Linked DNA regions of Caenorhabditis elegans. The protein of the gene in region 2 interacts with the protein of the main gene of each other region in a pairwise test. Each region holds a gene or a part of one and is shown on either strand. Other genes may lie near its edges. The genes, in order: F37C4.5, scrm-7 and ZK1055.7.

The links.
Region 1: the proteins of scrm-7 (region 2) and F37C4.5 interact in a two-hybrid assay, tested with the Caenorhabditis elegans proteins (one large-scale study listed by BioGRID).
Region 3: the proteins of scrm-7 (region 2) and ZK1055.7 interact in a two-hybrid assay, tested with the Caenorhabditis elegans proteins (one large-scale study listed by BioGRID).

The regions. Positions count from the first base shown.
Region 1 is NC_003282.8:3,869,876-3,877,265, forward strand, and holds F37C4.5 (Protein F37C4.5), read right to left. Parts: upstream 3,932-7,390; 5' UTR 3,927-3,931; coding exon 3,777-3,926; intron 3,623-3,776; coding exon 2,297-3,622; intron 2,251-2,296; coding exon 2,056-2,250; 3' UTR 1,956-2,055; downstream 1-1,955. Other genes in the region: F37C4.4 (Transmembrane protein 196), read left to right, coding at 389-480, 767-1,038, 1,386-1,564, 1,741-1,851; F37C4.6 (Pyridine nucleotide-disulfide oxidoreductase domain-containing protein 2), read right to left, coding at 5,613-5,795, 5,839-6,100, 6,708-7,208, 7,313-7,390.
Region 2 is NC_003283.11:14,776,356-14,783,231, forward strand, and holds scrm-7 (Phospholipid scramblase), read right to left. Parts: upstream 3,387-6,876; 5' UTR 3,360-3,386; coding exon 3,213-3,359; coding exon of another isoform or gene 3,116-3,212; intron 3,070-3,115; coding exon of another isoform or gene 3,014-3,069; exon of another isoform or gene 2,981-3,013; intron 2,933-2,980; coding exon 2,573-2,932; intron 2,472-2,572; coding exon 2,285-2,471; intron 2,243-2,284; coding exon 2,055-2,242; 3' UTR 1,848-2,054; downstream 1-1,847. Other genes in the region: haf-7 (HAlF transporter (PGP related)), read left to right, coding at 68-976; Y50E8A.10 (uncharacterized protein), read left to right, coding at 3,726-3,779, 3,832-3,918, 4,078-4,323, 4,366-4,409, 4,479-4,606, 4,653-4,723; Y50E8A.11 (Integrin_alpha2 domain-containing protein), read left to right, coding at 5,138-5,577, 5,629-5,854; Y50E8A.12 (THAP-type domain-containing protein), read right to left, coding at 6,357-6,527, 6,571-6,648.
Region 3 is NC_003283.11:6,600,786-6,608,556, forward strand, and holds ZK1055.7 (Protein F37C4.5), read right to left. Parts: upstream 4,591-7,771; 5' UTR 4,589-4,590; coding exon 4,448-4,588; intron 4,404-4,447; coding exon 4,284-4,403; intron 4,239-4,283; coding exon 4,004-4,238; intron 3,951-4,003; coding exon 3,842-3,950; intron 3,386-3,841; coding exon 2,731-3,385; intron 2,444-2,730; coding exon 1,991-2,443; 3' UTR 1,951-1,990; downstream 1-1,950. Other genes in the region: ZK1055.6 (Protein F37C4.5), read right to left, coding at 1-379, 548-891, 948-1,067, 1,688-1,819; gon-14 (HAT C-terminal dimerization domain-containing protein), read right to left, coding at 6,018-6,120, 6,686-7,198, 7,244-7,336, 7,384-7,550.

The DNA.
Region 1 (7,390 bases), on a different chromosome or scaffold from region 2:
AAAACATCAAACGCGCTCTAATATTGACAAACTTTTTAAAGACTCAATTGCAAACATGCTCCAATTATAACTTCAATTTTGGTGTTGCAAACGCGCGCTAGTGATAGGATCAGGTTTAATGTTGCAAATACGTTCAACTAATAGTGAGAACAGTGAAATCCTAATAGCAAAAGTTATACTTTCTCCCGGAAACTGTTCCATACATGTAATCTATCGATTCCAATCACAAAACAAGGCCACATTGGAGTAGTCACATGGGATTCTCCTACCTGCCTCCCCGAGGCAGTATATCCGAATACTTGTCTCTTTTTTGTCGCAATTTTGCGTTTGAAACTGTAGCTTCGAACCTATAAAATATGTATTTTTAATTTAAAATAAATATTTGCAGACTTCTGAAGAAGAAGAGGAGTTCTCATCAAACGAACGACGGCGTTATAAGGCTTATACAGTAATGCAGAAGGCAGGATTTCAGCATACCGAGTAGGTTAATGTAGCAGACGACATTCTACGGGTACCCACGAAATGTCGGTTGCTGGGTAGAAAACTTAGGACTCATCTTAAATAGGTCACAACTTTTTAAAAGGATTTTTTGTCGATGCACCATGTTTTCAATCAAATAATGTCAAATGAAAAACATAGTTTATTATATGTTTCTTCTTTTACAGTAGAAAATTAGTTGATAGCTTCAAAATGAAGGTGTGGGCTCGCGAAATTTTTTAAAACCGATTTTATGCCGATGCACCATGCCTAAAGTTCTTTTTTTTAGATACGCCCAAATAATGGTGCACCTGTGCCGCGCGGAGATCCTCATCTCGCTCATCTTTTTGGCTCATGGCACCACATGCCCCGGCTACCCGACAGAAGCCGAATACCAATCCACGTGCCATATGAATACGGTATCAGCAATTGTCAGCTTGCTCACCGGAGCCATGGGATTGGGCGCTGTGCATAGATATCGGTGGAGGACCATGCTAATCTTGTGGCTCGTTTTTTGTATCATGTCGGCTGTCGGAAGTCTGCTAGCTGTGATTACTACAGGTAAGAGAGTTTTTTGCCGAATGGCTTATATCTCGATCAGATTGAAAGTTGTTCAGAAATTTTTCAACAAAGTTATACTTTTTTGATATCCATTAAAGTTGAGTAAAACTAAAACAATGTCATTTTTCTTCATGGTGCATTGTTGAACATAGAAACTGATACAACAAGTTGTTTGTCAATAACTTTTGGATAAAACCAAAAAGAACTGAGATATCAACTCTCAAAATCAGGCAAACATGGTGCAACGAAAACTTCATCTTTGGTTTTATAAAAATTATTAGCTAACTTTATACACTGTTCCTTTAAAATTAACCGAGGTATGGGATTTCAATTAATTTTTTTCTCAGGCATCTGGCTCGACCACTACTCAAAAATGAAAGTCCGCACGGCAATCGGCAACGGGTTATCCGGTTTCATGCTTTTGGCATCAGTTGCTCTTGGAGTGTGCTTCATCTTGACCGCTGTCATGATTTGTCATTATTGGAACTCCAACACCACCGGCTATCAGCCAGTGCAGAAAATTGCAGTGAGTTGACAAACCTCGTTTACTTTTAAAATTATTACCAATTTACATATTGCAAAGTTAAGAAAACGTGTTTTAATTATTTCGCCAATTGAAAACTTTTTGACAAATGCAAAAAAGCTCTTAAATCACATGGTGCATCGAACCTTGTTCCAGAAATTTCCATAAACCCTTTGCAGAAACGCGCTAGATCTCTGCGCCGTCGATTGAGCCGAGCAAAGAGCTGTGACAAAAAAGATGCAAGACCTCCAACCAGCAATCCAGAAGATAAGGGTTATCATATCGTGTGATTTTTTTTGTTCTTTTTTCTAAATTCCAATTCCATTTGTTGCTCAAAACGGGTCAATTCCATCATTTCAATCCATTCTGTGTGTCTCAAAGAAATCAATAAATTCTGAAATTACACATTTATTTTACATATTTGGCGACATTAAAGGAATTATTTATAAATTATACAGATCAAGTTAAAGCGGAAAAATCATCGCATAAGCACTTCAGAACTTCTCCTCATAGCGAATTTGCTCAGCCTGTGGGTGCTCGGTAGTGTACTTGACGACGAAAGTGCTGGACTGTCCTGGCGCAAGTTGGACGGTGTAGTCGAGAATCTTCTCCGGAGTGATGGCGGCTCCGACGGTTGGCTCGACGCTTGCCTCGTCGACTTCCACGGCTTCTGGGGTGTTGAGGTGGACCTGAAAAATGGGAAATTTAGGGGCTTTTTATGTATTCAATCTTTACCTTAATTCTAGAATCTGTGGATCTTGGCAACTGCTCGCGAATGGTGAGAAGCACCGAGTTGGGGCGAAGATTAGTGACGGCAGTGGTCTTCTCGGTGACCTGAGAGTTGATCTTCTCGACGGTTCCGCTCTGTTCCTGGTAGTTTCTGACAGGCTTGTACTCGATGCGGATGTTCGGGTCGACGCCCAACGACACCTCAAACTTTTGCGATACGACCGCATCTTCGAACTCGGTCTTGTTGACGAATGCTCCGTCGAGGAAGATCGATGCCTGACCGGCGACGAGTGGGTAGTCGGAGGTGTTGACCGAGTTGGCGACGAGGAACGCGGTGGCGTTACGGGATGGGACGGTAACGTTGGAGAGCTTGGTGTCGAGTGTGAATTGTCCGATGTTCACCTTGTACTCGTCGGTGCGATCGTCGATGGTGGCGGGGCGGCCAATGCTGAACTCGGAGGCAATGTTGCTGGACTTCACAGCCGCATAGGACATTTTCATGGATTTTCTACTTCTACCCATTTCCATCATCGGAGCCGCGCAGGCCATCACCACTGAATCCTGAGCGTAACCACCTCCATAACCTCCTCTTCCACCTCTGTTACATTCTGGTTCGGGCACAACAATCGATGCCTCGAGGGCTCCGAGCTTCGGAAGTTGCTTAACTCCGTGAGCGGGTCTTGCGGTTGACAACACCAATGGCACTGTCTTCCAGTCTTCTCCACTGTACTGACGGACCTTTCCGAAGTAGGTGACGTGCATCTCAGCTTCAACACCAGCAGTGACGCGGATGTCGTAGAACGGGGTCCAGGAGACGTTGTTCACTTGGTAGGTGATGGTGAGCTGTGCAGCACCACCGGCTTCTGACTCAACAATAATACTGGCATACTGAGCAGAGTTTCTCCATCTGTATCCGGTATTGTCGTAGTCTTGGCTAGCACGGGCGTACTCTTCCTCGGCCTTTCGCAGGTCTTGATCCAGGGTTCGGATCTGAGCGCGAAGATCCACTGTTGTGTCTTGATGGAATCCGTGGAGGGCGTTGAGACTTTCAATTGTGCGCCCGTCAAAATGGAAGGCGCCGTCCTTTCCGTGCTTGGCGACTTCGGTGATCAGATTGTCAAGTCCCTCGATGCGCTTCTGTACGGCAACTCGGCTATCGGCAACCTTGTCCTTGGCGCGTTCCTTTTCCTCGAAGATCGCCTTAATTGCGAGAACCCGCTCCGGGATCACAAACTCGGCACCCTCCTGGTTCTTGACGGAGACGTCGTGGATCACAGCTTCGCCGGCTCCGGAAACACGGATCGAGTCCTGGACGAGGTCGAATGGGAGGTTCTGAAAATTTTTTTATCACATTGTGTGAGTGTTTTTATGACTTTAACTTTGACAGGTAAGGTAAATATTGGAAATTTCGATGGTTTTGTTTGCTTAGCAGTAAAAAATGCAAAAAAAAATTATTTTTTCTCGTATTTTATAGCCCTTCACTCACCTGAACTTTAACCTCATTGTAGCCATGAGCCAACTCGACCTGGAAAGTTCTCTTGAGCTCAGCGCAGTTCGAGTCGGAGCTGTAGACGAGAGCCTGGTCGATGGCGACGTCATGGAGGGTGAGCTTGTGAGTTTGCACGATGTGAGCCATTTTTTCTGGAAATTTTGAGGTAAATTTCAAGGGAAAATTTGAAAAAGTGAGGCTAAGACGAGAGTTTAACAAATAAAATTCTACAAAACTGACTATTTTCTATTTTTTTTTCAACAAAAAAAAAACACAAGCAACTTCCGAATTTCTCCCAACACAAAAAAGAAACAAACAGAAATTGAAAGTGTTCATTTTTACGTAGATCAAAAATGTTCAAAATTAACTACGATTTTTTGAATTAAAATTTCATCTTGCAAAACACTGAAAAATCTAATTAGAAAATACAGAAATTGATATTTTCCAACAAAAAAAATCACGTAATTTTCAAATTTCGCACATTTTTTAAATGTTGCTAGAATACTGTGAAATACTACAAATTACAAATTTAAAAAATTGTTTCATGATAAAATTCCCGAAATTTCAAGTTTCGCAATAATATCCGAACTTTTTCGAAAAAAAAAAATTGAAAAATGTCATTACTTTCGCTCGTTTTAGACAAAAAATTTGCAAACTAGAGCTATTTATAAATGGAAATAAAGCTTTGAAGCTATTTTTCCCCGGAACTCACCAAAAATATAGGAAACTGCGATTTTGGCAGAAAATGTATTTGAAATAAAATGAAAAAAAAAATCGAATTCCCAATAATTTTTTTTGAGTAAAATACGATATTTCACGTATTTCGCAATCTTATTTTTCGTATGTTATTTCGAGAAGTTTTCTAGTTTTGAAAAAGCCTTAAAAAAGTAAAAATGTAAGAGAAAAAGCGGAAAGCAAAGCTCAAACGATCAGAAAACCATGGGAAACCCGAAAAAAAAATCTCCATAGAGATTTGAGGGAAACACTCCTCTCAACAACTAACAAATTGTGGCGTTTTGGCCGCTCTTTTATACGAGTTTTTGGCATTTCTTTCGCTGTCTCTCTATCTCTTCACAAGAGGCAGCAGACAACACAAGAAAAAGGTCAAAATCAAGCGATGGGCGGCATTCTGTTGTGTTCCGATGAGTTTCTCTCGGTTTTTTTTTCGAAACTGAGACGAGTTCAACCTTTGACCAAGTGGCGATGAGTTTTCGTACTTGCTGTGTTGGCGAAAAAAGATCCTGCGGAAGGAGCTGTAAAACTGGGAGCACAAATCACACTAGACTACTCAATAAAAATACGAATTTCACAAACTACAGAACCACAGCTTTTTTTTTGAAAATTTCAAGACAAATCTGTGGAAAATTGATTTTTAACCTGAAAAATAGAAAAGCTTGACAGTTTTCAATATACCAAATTACAAATGTTTGCTTTTTTTCAGGTATGAACATAAATTGGATATAGTTTTTCTTTTTTTTTTTAAATAGAAATTTCAACTATTTTTTGAAGAATTAATTTTAAAATCCAAAGAAAAATACATACGTAAATTCTTTTTAAAAATCTGAAATTATTTCCCAAACTTTTACGAACATTTTTGAAAATTTCTATAATTTTCTGAAGATTTCCCGCTTAACATTTCTAATTCCACCAAATCACTCAAAAATCAAAGGTCACCGCAACTAAATCGTGAATCAAAAGATCACTTCCTCGTCGTCTCCTCAGCAGTTTCGAAACACACATTTTGCAATACATCATGGTGTTGGAAATGTTTTTATGAGTCACTGGCGCAAGACAAACAAAACAATAAAAAACCGCGAGAAGAGACTTAGAACGTTAGAAATGTTTGAGGGCATGAAGTGCGCTCAACCGACCGGGGGCTCCAGTCACACCACCTCCCGGGTGAGCACCACTTCCGCAGAGGTAGAGGGACTCGATGGGCGTTGAGTAGTTGCTCCATTTGCTGATCGGGCGGGACACGTACAGCTGGTCAAGGCTCATAGATCCGTGGAAGATGTTCTGAAGCAAATTTTGAAAATTGAGCCTTAAAAATGGGACCTACCCCTCCAGTAATCCCAAAAGTGTTCTGAATATCGGGTGGGGTCAAGATGTCATAGCCTATGACACTTGATGAAAAGTTCGGTGCATAAGCGTCTATCTCCGAGAAGACGTGTTTCGCGTATTCTGTCTTCTTTTCTTCCGTCCATTCACCGTCTTTCGGTGAGAAGGGAGTGTACTGGGTAAAGAGGAGGACGACGTGACCATCAGCACTATCCACAATGGTTCGGTCGACTGAAGAGGGAATTGTCATCTCGATGACTGGTCTGCAAACTTTTGAATTGAAGTTTATGGCGAGAATGATGGTATCATGAATTCTAAAAGGGGTTTTACAAATTGTCAGAAATCCTGAATCATTCATCGAATTTAAAATATTTATTTGATCAGAAAAGGAACTGTGTCTATTCACGAAGTGTCAGAGTGCGCCATGTTGGTTTGATCTACGTAGATGTACGCAAATTTAGATGCAGTCTTCTCAACTGTTTCGCATGCTTAAAAACGTGCTGACGTCACATTTTTTGGGGAAAAGTTTCCGCATTTTTTGTAGGTCAAACCGTAATGGGACATGCTGACACCACGTCTTCATTCGGATTGTTAATAAAATGTTTAAATTTTACAAATTCCCTGTCAAAACTTTTACTTTAGCTCAAGAAAACGGGGGAAAATGTTATGACACTGAAAACGGCCGCGACTAGTCGAATCCTATACGTAGTGTTAGGATGTCCTATTACGGTTTGATCTACAGAAAATTCTTCAGAATATTCGGCAGTTTGGACCGCAACCTACCGTACCCACAAAGATACAAGACAAATTATAGGTTTAACAATTTTCAAATTGCCGCCCACCGATGAAAACCCCTCTGAACCAACTAACCTTCTACTATATCTCCCGTTCTTATAATCCATCACCGCGTCATGCACCACTTGCATATTCTCACAGTTCATATGAATCGTCGTCTGATGATGTGGCATTGGCTCTGATCCTTGATTCGGTTTGGCCAAGAAGTTCGGAAGCTCCTTCACAGCTACATTGATTTTTGTCACCGGCGATGTGTAGTCGATTTGATTGATGTTTCGGTGGAACTCCTCTGGAAGTGACTCCTTCTTGACAAGATGGTTGAATGTTACATGAGGAGTCGCATTCGACATGACAATCTTCGAATGGAGCTCCTTGCCATTTGACAGACGGACTCCTTTAGCAACGTTTCCATCTAGAAGCACCTCTTGAACGTCTTGCTCCGTATAGATTTCGGCTCCATGGCTCTTGGCACATTCGGCGATGGCGTTGGATACAGCGCCCATACCACCATACACGTAGCCCCAGGCTCCTTTGTGCTCATCAAGTCCTCCAATGACGTGGTGGAGTAGGACGTATCTGTCACCAGAAATTTCGAGAAACTTATGAGTTTGTCAAAGAGAAGCTGATGTTTGGTGTCTAAAAACCTAGCTCCTCCTGCTGTAGACCGGAAAATAACTCACCCGGTTCCAGGATCCATTGGACTCGCGGCCAATCCAATAACACCGTCGGTTCCCAACGTCGCCTTCAGCACGTCACTC
Region 2 (6,876 bases):
TTTCGATTATTTACAGTATGCAATATTTCTAGAAATAAAAAATTAGTTTAATTATTTTTCTTTTCAGGCATTCAGCTCCTTGTTCTCTGACGTCATGAAAACCATTGGATCGTCACGAAAAGTAATCCATATCATGAATCGCCAACCAGAACTCGACTATGAGTTCGGAACCGAGACACCAGAAATTGTTGGAAACATTATCTTTGAAGATGTTGAGTTTGCTTATCCAACTCGCAAGAATGCAAATGTCCTGAATAAGATAAATTTATCAATTGACCCAGGAAAGACTATTGCATTGGTTGGACCAAGTGGAAATGGAAAGTCGACATTGGTTTCTTTGATTCAACAATTTTATACTCCACAATCTGGAAGAATTTTGATAGATGGAACACCAATTCAGAACATTGACCATCTCCATTATCACACAAACATTGCACTAGTTGCACAGGAACCAACTTTATTCTCTGGAACTGTTCGAGAAAATATCCTTTATGGACTTGAAAATGGAACGGATGAGGATATGATGCGTGTAGCTGAAATGGCGAATGTTCATGAATTCGTGTCTAAAATGGAGAAGGGATATGATACCAAGTGCGGGGAAAAAGGAGTCCAAATGTCTGGAGGACAGAAGCAAAGAATTGCAATTGCTCGAGCTTTGATCCGTGATCCACGTGTTCTGATCCTTGACGAAGCCACATCGGCGCTGGATTCAGAGTCTGAAGCTATGGTACAAGAGGCGTTAAATCGATGTGCTCGTGAACGAACTGTATTGGTGATTGCTCATCGTTTATCCACTGTGAGAAGTGCTGATCGAATTGCTGTAATTGAAAAGGGAAATGTAACCGAGATGGGAAACCATGAGGAGCTGATGAAAAATACAGAAGGACTCTATTACAAATTGGTGAGCAAACAATTGGATCCGTTGATTGGAACGAAAAAAGAAGAAGAGAAGCCACCGGCGACTGAGTTCTTCTAAGATATTTTCACTATTTGTTATTTATTATGGGAACGTAGAAAAATTCGTTCTTTGAAATCTAGGTACAGTGCCACATTGGAGAGATCAGCCCCAGAACATTGAATCAGGTTGGAATCCGTAAAAAACATATTTCTGCGTACCCATAATATTTTTACTTATTTATTTTTGTTTTAAAAATCATGGGTTTACAATTTTACAAATTAGTCATTTTTGGTCATCCTGTGATCTCCTTCCTGGTTTTGATTCATGCATTTTATTTTTGCCACCCCTTCCCCAACAGCTTCATAATTTTATTCATTTTTGCAGCTTTTTCATATTTGAAATAATTGCATTGTTTTTGAAAAGTAAATCATTCTAGAATTAAAAGGTGAAATTAGTCATAGTCAGGTATTAACATTTTAAAATATGCAGTCTTCAAAATACAAAAATTATGTCTCTTCGAAGTTTGGAATTCTCCTGGAACTCGTGCTCGAAGGCGCACGAATGATATTGAACGGGACTCGCCGCGATCTGAATTGTAAGCAGAGTTTTTCGCTTTTTTTAGATTTTTCTTGATTTTATGAGGATTTCGCAATATTAACCAGAAGGGAAATGTTGCTCAAAAGGTACAATACGATGCATCGCAACGAACATTTGTGTTAAATCCAAAATGGTGGGAGCCTTTGAGGATTACTGTAATTTACTAACTTTTCAAATTGATTTTTCACTTTCCATGATTCTTTCGAAACTTGACAAGCTATTTGAAAAAATCGACGCAACAGCAAAACGTTAGAAATTACAGTAATCCTTGAAGACTCACCATTTTACATTCAACACAAATAATGAATATTTAGTCACCGTTATAATAAAGGCGATGGACGAAAATCATGGTGAAACGTTTTATAGGAAAGTTGAATACGGTTTACAAACAGCTCAATCAAAGATATAGCATCTTTGAAAATGAAATCTGTGGAAACTTTTAAATCAATTTCTGAACGAGACTTTGAAAGGTAAAGAATATTTGAAACGAAGGCTTTTTTAATAAATAAAATGCAGAATTTGAAAGAATCCATTTGACATCACACTAATACCCAAAAAATCAATAGAATCCAGGGAAATATCCAGAAGAGAATCCACTATGGTAAGAACGTTGTCTAACATAATGTGATCCTCCATATCCACGATACATGTTATTTTGTTGTCCATTATTTTCAAAGAATGTGAAATCGATAAGGAATACAGACGAGATGAGCAAAAGCTTCAAGATTGGTGGAAGATCCATTGGGACTGTAAAATTGAGAATTAAATTAGTTTAAAGAAGCTACTTACAATGCACAATATAAGTATCTGCATCAGAGTACATTTCTTGCATATATCCAGGATAAAGGCGAACAATTTCACCAACTCTCATTCCATTGTAGGTCATAACTGGGAAGCTTCTGGTTCCACCACTTGCAGCAAACAACGGAGAACGGATCAGAAGAGATTGATTGCTTCCCGCGCCGAGAAGATGGAACTGAAAAAAATATATTCACGAATGTTTCAGCCAAGAAAGTGAAAATGTTTCCCAGAAGGTAACCAAGTTTTGCCAAAAGACTTGATTTCTCATAAACTCACATTGACATCCCCATGAGTTCTCGACATAATTCCAATATTCTGTCCCAGAAACTGTGTAGTCAAGTGATCCGTGAATGATCCCCAAGGCTGATCTCTGTGACATTGCATAACATGTGCACCAAATAAATCTGTACACATCATTGCAAAGCTTCGATGAGATCCTTGCATTTGACGAGCAAATCCATTGGATCTTTCCATACAATTCATAATCGGACGACAGTACATATCATGAACAACATATTGATTTGGCGTCTCGATTCCTGTTGCAATTTCCAGAGGTTCTAGTGCTTGAACAACCATCATAGAGTTGGTCCGAGAAATCATATCCAGAACATTGTGAGCCGGAAGGTTGTTGAAACCCTGAAATACAGCATTTTTGCATGAACTCCGGTGTAACGATGAACTTACGATTTTTTTTTATTTTCTCATTTAATTAATTTGTTAAAAAATCGGTAATTGAACCCTGCCACACTTTACACACTCACAGTCGGTGTCGCCTAGAAGGTAGCCTTTATAAGCGACTTTCACCTAACTTCAGCCTACCGATAGACAAACGACAGGCATGCACAAACACATGAGACACTTGCCTACCAAATAAGTCCCAAGGCAAAGACATATGATGTTTCTCTGTGTAACTCACTGTCATTCTAACTGGCATAGAAGCCACTTGATTTGGAAGAACGATTGGTGTCGATCGAACTTGTGGCATGTGTCCACCTCTTCCAGCTTGTGCTCGAACTTCAGAACCATCGGCTTCCACGTCATCCTGTTTTGTTTCCATTGTCATGAGTAAATGCACCTTCTTCGTCACGAATGAACTCTAGTAATGAACAAAAATCGGTACTTTTCCGATTTCTGCCCCCCCCCCCCCCCAAAAGTTTTTGATATTTTCATTAATGAAACGTGAACTTTTCGGAATTTCAGGCTTAGTATTGCTGTTTTCAAAGCTTAAAAATTGAAATAGTATTCAAATAAACGTACCCAAAAATCAATGAATAAACTTTCAATAAAACACGATGAGAAAAAAAATTAATTCCCGTGAGAGAAAAAAAATCAAATATTCTATTCACTTTTCGATTCAATCAATACTCGAATCCACATACTCATATTCGATTATTTCTCAATTTATTCCGTTTATTAAACGAATCATGTGATGGCGGTTTGTATGGATACATTCTTTATCTTCAACTCTTTCATAATGATAACGGTGAGCTACAATGACTACAAATTGCACTGACACTACAAACTATAAATTACAGAGCACCATATTCATCATTTGCTTTTGCAAACCACCCCGTCAGAAGAACAGTTGTCATGTTCGGGAGATGACAAATTCCATGAGAGCGGTATGTGAGGGGGAAGCTGCAAAAATCAATGAGTAGGCACGGAATAGGCATGATGCCGGGCAGGCAGGCGGATGTTGAATTTCTAGTACCAGAACACTTTGAAAACCGAACACTGATTAATCTGTAATATCTTGTAATCTCTATATTTCTGATTTTTAGGCGCCGATCTCGGATGCAATACCGGATAGTACTCGAACTGCGTTGGACAAAGAAGAGAAGAAGAAAAGGAGCAAAGATTCATCGAAAAAGTCAAACAAGAAGAACAAAAAGAAGAAGTCAGCGGATTCTTCCATGAAAATTTCGAAAAAATCGAGCAAGTCGAAGAAATCCAAAAAATCTGAGAAAGGGAAGAAACCAGAAGCCCGAGGGAGGGATGAGGGCGAGAACTCAACGCAAAGATCTGGAGTGAGTTGAAATGATGTTCAGGTTACCAGAGTTCTTTTTCAGGCGGCTGAGACAAACGGACCACCCGTTACAGCTAAAAGTGCATTGTGAGTTTCGCCTGATGCAAGTTACAAATCCCGGTCAAAGTTTTGTTCCTAACTATTTCTGATTTTCAGGAGTAAAACCGCTAAAAGCGTTCCGAATGCCCCTAACACCAGTGTCAAGCCGACTTCTCTAGCTGCCAATTCTCCAGCCCCGTCGTACACAAACCCAGGAACACCAGCTGCTAATTCGGTTCCCGATAGTCAGTTATTTTAATGAGGAAAAGATCTCAATGAATATTCTTTCAGCAGCCAACCCAAGATCGCTTCCAGTTGGAATTCCCGGTGCTCCAGGCTGCCAGTCAATGCCAGCGTTTTAAAGAGAACTACTATGTGAAATAAAAGCTTTTTCTTGGAGATTTTGTTTTGAAATTACTTAATTTTAAAACAACTTTTTACAGTATTGAGACCAATTTTTAGAAATCTGAGTTTGAAAAGATTTTTCAATAATTGATTCCAATCTTCAACATTTCCAAGATACCCGATTTTTCTGGGATATCTGCAATTGGAGTTACAGCTGGAACATTCATCTCCAGCCATTTGTAATTCCAATAACAAGGTGAAGATGTGCAGGATGACAATTGGAATATGATGACATTTCCAGAGAAGGCGTGGTTTGTCTGGAATTGGTATATAAGCAATCTATCCACCCGGGATAATCATTTAGTCTAATTTGCTCCTCTCCAATCAGAATGTGTTCTTATTCAACATTTCTCTATCTTGTCCTTTTTCCAATGGTTTCTGCCACTGGACATCTTCGTCTTGAGCTCACTGCTTCTAGTCATTTTTCATTGCATCTTTCAACTAATTCAAGTCTTCAAACTGTGGAATTGGCAATGGGAGCTTCAAGAACTCTCAGTTTTCATCCAAAAGATCATCAAGAGACTCTTGAAATTGTATTTTCAAAGGAATTCAACTTCCCATTGAAGTATGCTTTTAAAATGGAAACTGATGATAGTAGCTATCAAACATTTGCATTCACTGATATTGTTCTTCTTGTTAAATCGACTTTTGAATGTGATGCTGGTTTCAATGGAAAATCATGTCAAGAGAAGACTACAAGTACAACAACTACTACTTCTACTACAACTGAAATCACAACTACTACCACTACAGTTTTGATTTCGGAAGTTCCATCAACTACTCCAATTATTAAAGTTGCAGCATTCCAACAGTAAGTTATCACATTAACCAAAGCAAGAATCAACTCAGTTCTAAATTTCAGATCAAATCCCTCAAATATTGTTCTGTACTCCGTGCTTATCCTCGTCATAGTCACTCTTCTCATCTTGGTTTTCATAGTTTTCTTCCTTCTCAAATTCCCAAAGAAAAACGTCTACATTCGACCAGAAACTCCAAATTTGGAAAACTGCCCAGTGAAGATTGAAGATTCTAGATTCTTTTCTCCTATGAGCCCAAGATATACCACCGAGCCACATAAACTTTTTTGACTTTAAATTGTTAATATTCAAATCTTAAGATGGTCCAAAAAAAAAAATATAACTAAATGAATAAATTCCATACTTTTAATCCAATTTATTGTAATTAGTTTGTGCCTGTGCCACAGTTTTGGTCCGTTAGTCCTTTTTTGCTGGCCCGACTTGTCGAGATGAACGTGATGTTACTTTTTATGTTAAATACTCTCCTGGTTAATTTAAATATTTAAAAAAAATAACCAGGAGAATCGGAAGGTGCCAAAAAATGTTTTTTTTTTCATAATTCTAAAAAAATTTATTTTTTCAACCACAAACACCACTTTCTTTAAAACTTCACAGATTTACTTATTAATGTCTGAAGCTCCACAACAGCTCAAAAACCGCTCCTCAGCCGGGTCCCATTCTAGAAAAAAATTCGTCTTGAAGTAATAGAAACAGTATACAAGAAAAAATAGTTACGTTGCCAATAATTATAAATTCATTTCAACACAATACAAATCAAATATTAAAAAATAAATTAATCAAGTTCTTCTTTAATCTCATGCTTCCGTCTAGCTTCATCTGCCTCTTCCATTGTCTTTTTTACATGAAGAAAAATGGTTTTCATCAGGAAAGTCATCGAATTCGGATCCAATTCTCCACCTCTACCCTTCAAATCACTCATTATTTTCAGACGTTTAGCAGGGATCTGAAAATTACATAGGTTTTGAAAAACTTTCGACGAAAATTACCGGTTCCTCTGATGAGTCGTCTGGCACAAATGATGAAGTGCTTCTGAGATCCACGTGTCGGATGAAAGTAGCGTTTTTCTGCAATTAAATATCGGAATTAATTTTATTTTTATATTTTTCTCAGATTTTTAGAACTAACGATATTCAAGTTAAAGTCAAAGTTGTGAAAACTAGGCCACGTAAATCGATAAGCCTATGTCGATTTACGAGCCATGTCTTTTGCTGTTGGCATAAGCTCACATGGCATGCTTTTCGATCTTGAAATGGAAGAGAAACGATGACGAAAATAAAAACTAGGCCATCATT
Region 3 (7,771 bases), 8.2 Mb from region 2:
AAGTACTTCTTCTACACCATCATCAATCTCGTTGGAATAATTGGACAACATACGAGGCCCACCTCTTCTATTCATTATTCTCAGGCCACGTTGTCGCCTCATCTTTAGTGCAGGTCTGTAGAAGTGAGCATCGAGAACACCTAGTTCAGGAATCTGTCCTCCGAGACTAGGTTGAGCAGTCGACAAAACAGCTGGAAATTCGTTCCAGTCTTCTCCACAATGGTTATAGATCTTTCCGAAATATGTAATAGCCATTGTTGGTTTCTCAGTATCCACGCGAATATCATAAGACGGCTGCCACCCAGCTTGAAAAACCTGATAAGTTATATCCAATTCAACGTCGCCATCTTCGAAAGCTTCAAGTGTAATGAAGACCGTGCTGAAAATTAGACTTCCTGAGTTTCAACAAACATTTTGATACTGTCACGTCCTAAAAAATTTTTCTGGTAAGTTGTAGGCACTAAACAAAGTAGAAATATAAATATTTCAGCGTTTTTCAAACTGTCCTATTGAACGTTTTGATACATAAAGTTATATTTAAACTTACTGAGACATATTGGAAATTCCGCTATTCACTAAGCGATTTAACTCATTTCCAATCTTACTCGCCATTTCAATTGTTTTGAGGATCTCATGCTCTTTCTCCCGCAACTGTTCATTCAATTTATTCATTTCAGTTTCTTGAAAATCTAACAATTTCTGAAGTCCTGTCAGCAGGTTCTCATCAATAACAACACTTCCGGATTCTCTTTTAGGATTCATTATTCCTTTTCCAATTCTTCCTACTGTCCGTTCTAATCCACCTATTTTCTTTTTCAATATATCTCTCTGATCCTCTTGATTATTACGTATTGCATTGTATTTGTCAAGCTCACTTCGCAACTCGGCAATCTAAAATACATAAGTAGCTTCAAAAATCTATGTAACAGGGATTTTTTTTTACTTACCTTCGGGGAGTCAGTTTCTGAGTTTAAAGAAGGGAGTTTTTTAGCGTTCACATCACAAACTGTTGCTTTCCCACGACCTTCAACTCTAATAGAATCACTTTGGAAAAATACAGAGAAGTTCTGAAAATTTGGAGTTTTAAATAAACATTTCATTAGTTTATATATTGTAGGAATTCAATGTTAACTTACAAAATAAGTTACTAACAGTTGTAAGTTTCAATGAAGTTGCAAAGATGCTGCTGAGCTCTAACTTTCTTGGCAACATTTGAAAACTCCCCGACAATGGCTAATGGTCTTAAACGCGAAGAATTTTTAGGTACGGTACGCCGTGAAAATATTTTGATAGCGATTTTAAAGATTTGAAAATAATAATTAAAAAAAAAATAATTATAGAAATCCCATAATATAACTCAATCTATTTTATGAACTTTTAGATTTTTATTGCAAAACTATTATTAGTTCTCCGCGTAACCATTTTGATACACCAAAAAGTCAAAATTTTTGCAAATTACCAGCATTTCAAAAGGTTTCAAAAACAATTTCAAAATAATGTTTAAATGTTCTTTTTAATATTTATTTTATTTGGCTCATTTTTACTATAATTTTTTATATACAACTTTTTCAGAAAGATAATCTACACAAAATGAGTTTTATATTAGTCTTTGTATGTAAATTATTCAAAAGTTGAGATTTAAAGTGTTGGAATTTCAATAAAATGATTTTCAAAAAAAGAAACTCACTTTTAAACAAATCTCACTAACTCCCGCTTTCAAATTAACTGGTACCCGTCGTTTCACTTCAGCTCGGTCACTGAGAATTGTAATTCCACTGATTTCCTGATTTCGAATGTCAAGTTCGTAAATTGATGCCATCTATAAGCGTAGATTATTCGATGGGCATATTATAACTAGAGGTGAAGAAAGTGCAAAAAAAACATTAAAAAAATGAAAACCGATAAAACGGAAATGGGAAAATTGTAAAACAAAAATTTCTGTAAAAGATAGACGACTTCATTTAAGTATCAATTCACTGTTGGATGTACTTTAGAAATTCTCTTGATATTGAACAGTTTCATCTTTTGGATGCTCCACCACATATTTGATGATCAGATCCTTTGAGCTGCTCGGAGCCAGCTTTATAGTCCACTCCAAGTGATTGCTGGAATTGAACTTTGCCCCTTCCACAGGCTCAGAATTCTCGGCTTCAGTGCCAGCCTTCTCCGCATCATATGGCGTAGCTGCTGGTGAAACTAGCTTCACACGGATCTTCTCGTCAGTGCTACGTGGAATCGCATGCTTCACGGTTAGGAGCACCGGCTGCTCATTTCTCGTATTTTTGATGGAGATTGTTTGCTCCGTGACATTTGCAGAGTGCTTGGTGATGTAACCTCCTTCCTCATGGTACTTCTTTGCCGGCTTGTACTCCACACGAATTGCCGTGTCAACTCCCAAAGAGCAAGTGAGTCTTTCACCTGGTGACACGTTTTTCAGGTGACTCTAAAAGTTGGATTTTATTAAAATATACTCAAACTGATTCAATGAGACTAAATATTTTCATATATCATTCATTATACAATGTTTTAGAGGTTTAATGACTTCTAGTTGAGTTTTGACAAATTTCCAAGTTTTGAAATTTTCTTTTTTTTTGTTGAAAGATTCAGATCATTCTTGTATGTTCAGAGTGAAACAAGATTGAATCGATAGAAGAATTCTTACTATTAAAATTTGGTTATTTCAGCAACTTAATTTGTTTTAAATCAATTTTCTCAACAAAAAAATCTTACTGTTGCGACAAATGCATTATTCAGATAGACAGATGAAAATCCAGCCAGGAGTGCAAGTTGAGAAGTATTAACAGCAGAAGCCGTGAGAAAAGCTGCAGCATTCTTACTTGGAACGGATTCATGAACAAGTTTTGGTGTAAGAGTCACAACTCCAATAGTAACTTTGTGTTCATCAGTACCGTGTGGAATTGTTGCTTCTCTGAGAATTTTAAATTCTGTGCTCAACGTGTTTTGGGTGATTTCTGAAGCAACAGCGACAGCCATTGGTGGAGCCAAAGTCACTTCATCTGAAAATCCGAGTGTTTCGGCTCGACGGTTCTGCGGTCCCCGCGCCCCAAATAATGAGGCTGATGCATTCATCGATCTTGTTTGATAATGTTGAACTTCAGGACGACGGAAGGTTGCTTCGAGAGTTCCAAGATCTGGAATTCTGCCAGCAAGACATGGCTGAGCAGTTGACAAAACAAGTGGTGCAGAAGTCCAATCTTCCTTTGTGAATTGACGGATTTTTCCAAAGTATGTAATGCTCATGGATGGTTTCTCTGTGTCAACTCGGATATCGTATGATGGATGCCACGAAGCATCTAACACTTGATAGACTACATTCAGCTCAGCTTCCAGGTCTTCTGTGCATTCCAAAGTAATTGTGGCAGTGCTAAAATTAAGTTATCAATTTGTTGGGAAGATAGGCAAACAGTGATCTTAAATACTACAGCTTAACAATGTCAAACAATAAGACTCAAAAAATAAATTGTTTCTAGAAATAGATGGAAAATCATATGGAACTTTTCTTTATAATATTTCGAATTTTTATTAGGGTTGGATGCTTTTTTGCATATCTTCAAATCTATCTGTAATCCCATTTGTATTTGAAAATAAATAGTGCATAGAAAGCAAAGCATAGCTCATTGTGCGCCTCAAATTTTTATGGGTTTTTTGATAGTTTTTCAAATTTTTTAAATGATTCAAAATTTGGTATGTTGCCAAAAGTTTGAGTTAAGATTAAGAAAGATTTGAAAAGACATATAAAGTTGTTTTTGCCCCATTTTTAGTATATTTTGGTAAATTCCCCGACTGGCACAATTCCACCTTAAACTTTTCAAAAACTCACTGAGAGAACGCTTCTTCATTCAAATTGTGCATTAGAGCTCGTAACTCGTTTTCCAGTTTCGAAACTTTTTCCTGTTGCTCACGGTGTCCAGCTTCAACTGATCGTAGTTCTAGAAAAAAAAATTAAGTTTTTTAAAATCTCAAATTTATCGTTTAAACTCACTTTCTCTGTATAATTCGGAGTTGCTCCCATAGAATTGGAAGAAATTTGTAAGACTTTCCAAAGTTCCTTCATTTAAAGAAGCAACACCATCTTTTGGTGGATTCACGAGACCCCCACCAACTTGTTCGAAAACTTTGTCCAAATTGTCAACGCATTTTTGGACAACCGTTCCGCGATCTGTGATTTTTTGGAGGCGATTTTTCTCCTCTAGAATGGCAGCTTTGAGATTGGTGATCTTAAAAAAAAGAATATATTTTCGAATTTTAATTATCTTGCCAACCTTTGGAGGATCAGCTTCAGTTGGCAAACGAGAAACATTCTTAATAACTACATCATGAATGATTGCATTTCCTCTTCCTTCAACTCTAATTGATCCTTGAGCCATTGTTTTGCAGAGGTTCTAAATTCAAAACTACTTGAAAAACTTGTTCATATTCTACAAACCTTGAGAACAACTTCATTGACACCAGATTTCAATGAAACTTTGACAAGACGACGGATTTCAGCTCTATCAGTGAATACTTTCACCTCGGCAATTTTAAGATCACGAGTCTCGAACTCGTGGACAGATGGGTTGGTGGTCATTTCTGAAAATGACTCTTTTTAAGAGGTGTGTATTTTCAAATATTAGGAATTCTAAAATAACGAAAGTATATATCACGAATTGTTGTTAATCATTAATATCGCTGCATTTCTAAGAATATATAGATTTACGGACGGTGATACAATCTTAATGTTTACTGTAGAAAATCTGGCTTGAAGTTAATTTATTCAACATATTGGTTTGGTATTTTTCTAACTGGTCGTACATTTCTACATTAAATGAACCAATGCATGAAATTTGAAGCTTGTAGCGATCACTATAGCTGAGATCGTGGCGAGACCTACACAGAAAAATAGTGTGCGCCTTTAAACTGAATTTTAAAATTTCAACGAATATACGATATACGCATGAGAGATTATAGCAGTAGTTGTCTAAAGACAAAGATATTTTTAAAAAACATCTGTATTTTGTAAATATTATTAATGTCATATTTGACGCGCAATATATCTCGTAGTGAAAACTACAGTAATTCTTTAAAGGACTACTGTAGCGCCTGTGTCGATTTACGGGATCATTTTGACTTATCATGTAGATATAATTTATCATATTAAGCAAAAATGAGAAAATAATACGAAGAAACGAAGAAAAATAGAGTATCGCTATTTATCACTATTCGAGAATAAATACGTTTCAAAAGTCGAGCCCGTAAACCGACACCACAGCTACTGTAGTTATTTAAAGAGTTACTGTAGCCTTCGCTACGAGATATTTTGCGCGTCAGATAGTCAGATAGCGCATTACGCATTTTCATAATTTTGTGTTGTAATAAATTCAGAAACATTATATAAACTGAAATAACACACTGAAATTTCCAAAACTAAAAAACGTAAAGTTGAATATTCAAAACTTTTCGAAAAGAAACGCGACGAGATGACTAAATTTCATAACGTTGATATCAGTAAAACCTTCAAATCATTTCAAAGAGAGGAAACTCTCTATTTATACCAAAGAGACAGAAAATGTTTCGCAATGTGTTTGTGCTGACTCATTGGAGACTTAGATGCAGAAAGGAAAACGCGATAGGATAATTTTTTTTTTTTTTTTTTCACATAATAATTCACAAATTTTCGAAACGTTTTTTTTCTCCCAAAAATATGAAATACCAGTCAGAGGGTATGCAAAGTTTCTTGCTGGGTCAACAATTCAGAAATGTCAAGGTGAGTTGGGAATACAGAAAAAAAGAAATGATAAGATACTCTTCAGAAAAATTGAGAAAAATAACATGATTGAGAACTATTAAACAGAACAGGGAAGTAAACTGGTCGATGAGAAAAGAAAACGTTAGCATAGTCAATTTGAAACAACATGCGGATATATCGAAACAAGTAGCATAACAAAAACAAAACAATGAAAATACCAACTAGTGACAAATAACTAAAGTGAATTGAGGTACAGATGTATGAGCTGGGATTATTGTGGAGGTTGATGTAGCTGATGGGTAACACCAGTTTTTGTACGAATGAAATACATCTTTTTCGATGCAGTCAGAGGAGTGTTTAAGTTGAAGGAGACTCTGAAAAGTTGAATATATTTAATTTAGGTTAATAATGGTATCAGCAGAAAGGATGTAATTTTATTTTAAAAAATCGAACATTTTGTTTTTCGATCTTTTGGAAAACATTTCATTTTTATGAATAATGTCATTTCTCTGATTTGAGAGATAAATCTATACATACTTTCCTCGTATTTTTTTTGAATAAAATTTTATTTCCAAAAAAAAACAACCGAACAACTTTTTCTATTTTCTATGAGAAATACCGGAAAATCGAACATTTTATGGCGACACCTTTGATACAAGGATGTCGGTTGTTTGATTTCTCACTAAAATTAAAAACCAAAAATTGTTTAATTTTTGAAAAATCGAAAACTTTCAATTTTCTGATATTTCGAAATTTTTTTTTGATTTTTCAAAAAATAGCTCAAAATTCTTAATAATTTCACTGCTTTTTAGAAAATATTCATGTTTTATTATGCTTTCTCATCAACGTAAACATTGATTTAAAAAAAATATTTTCTGAAACATTTTTTTTCGATATTTCAAAAATCGAATATTTTCTTTTTTTAATTGATCAGCTCACGAAGGGGTATTTCTGATAACTCGTAATACTTGACCATCTTTTCCGCGAATCACACTTGTTCCATTGCCTGCCGCAGGTCGTACTGCGTAGTACCTCTTCGGTGGAGGAGCCGATGGAGTCAGTTGTTCAACAATGCCCTCTTTGGATTCGGTTTTAACGACAACAGGCCTCGCGTACGGCGATGATGAAGCAACAGTGTACACTCTCTGAATCTTCTGTCTATTCGCAGCGATTTTTGCAATTTCATCTTTCAGACTTCTTCCATGTGGTGCTTCTCTGTTTGTTCGAATTGTGGGAAACGATTGTAGAATTCGATGCGGTGGAAGTGGGTTTGGATTCTGATACACAAATGGCGTTCGTTGAGGAATCATTCGTTTTGGAGGCTCGTCTGATGGTACATCTACAATCTGTAGAGCTCTCACATCGATTGCATGATACCAAGCATCTTCAGGAGAATTGGCGTCTTTTCTTCGCTTTACGCAAATTGGTTTGCACATCAAAGATCCCTTCGAGCTATAAAATAATAATGAGTTTTGGAGATCTAAGAATTAAAATTACCGATATTCAACTAATTCACTCGCTGCACGAAGTAGCATTTTCCTTTTTGAGATATCTGATTCGTTGATCGAATGTGTAAGGATACCGTACTCTCTGTAAATGTCAACTGTATTGAAATTAAGCGAATAAAATTTCCTAACCCGAGATAATAAGCGGCATCAATCGAAAACGCTGGAATTATGAAAAGCTCTCTGGCATATTTGTACAGACGAGGGAAGCGACCGGCGTGACGAGCCCACCAATCCATGATTCCAGTTTCAACACCAGTAACTCTGCACACATACTGTGAGAACGCATTGACCTCTTTCTGTAAAAATATATACCATAGGAATGAATATCGTGATTTCTAGAAATGTTGACATGCCTTCCTAAAAAAGCGAAGATTTATACAGATAGGTCTCGAAGTTTTTTTTTATATTTCCGGTCACCTTCTCGTTTCTCAAGGAAATTACTTCATTTCTGGCAAATTTTGTGGTTTTTCAAATTTTCTGTTGAACATTGTTTTAAATCAGTTTTCTACATTTTTCC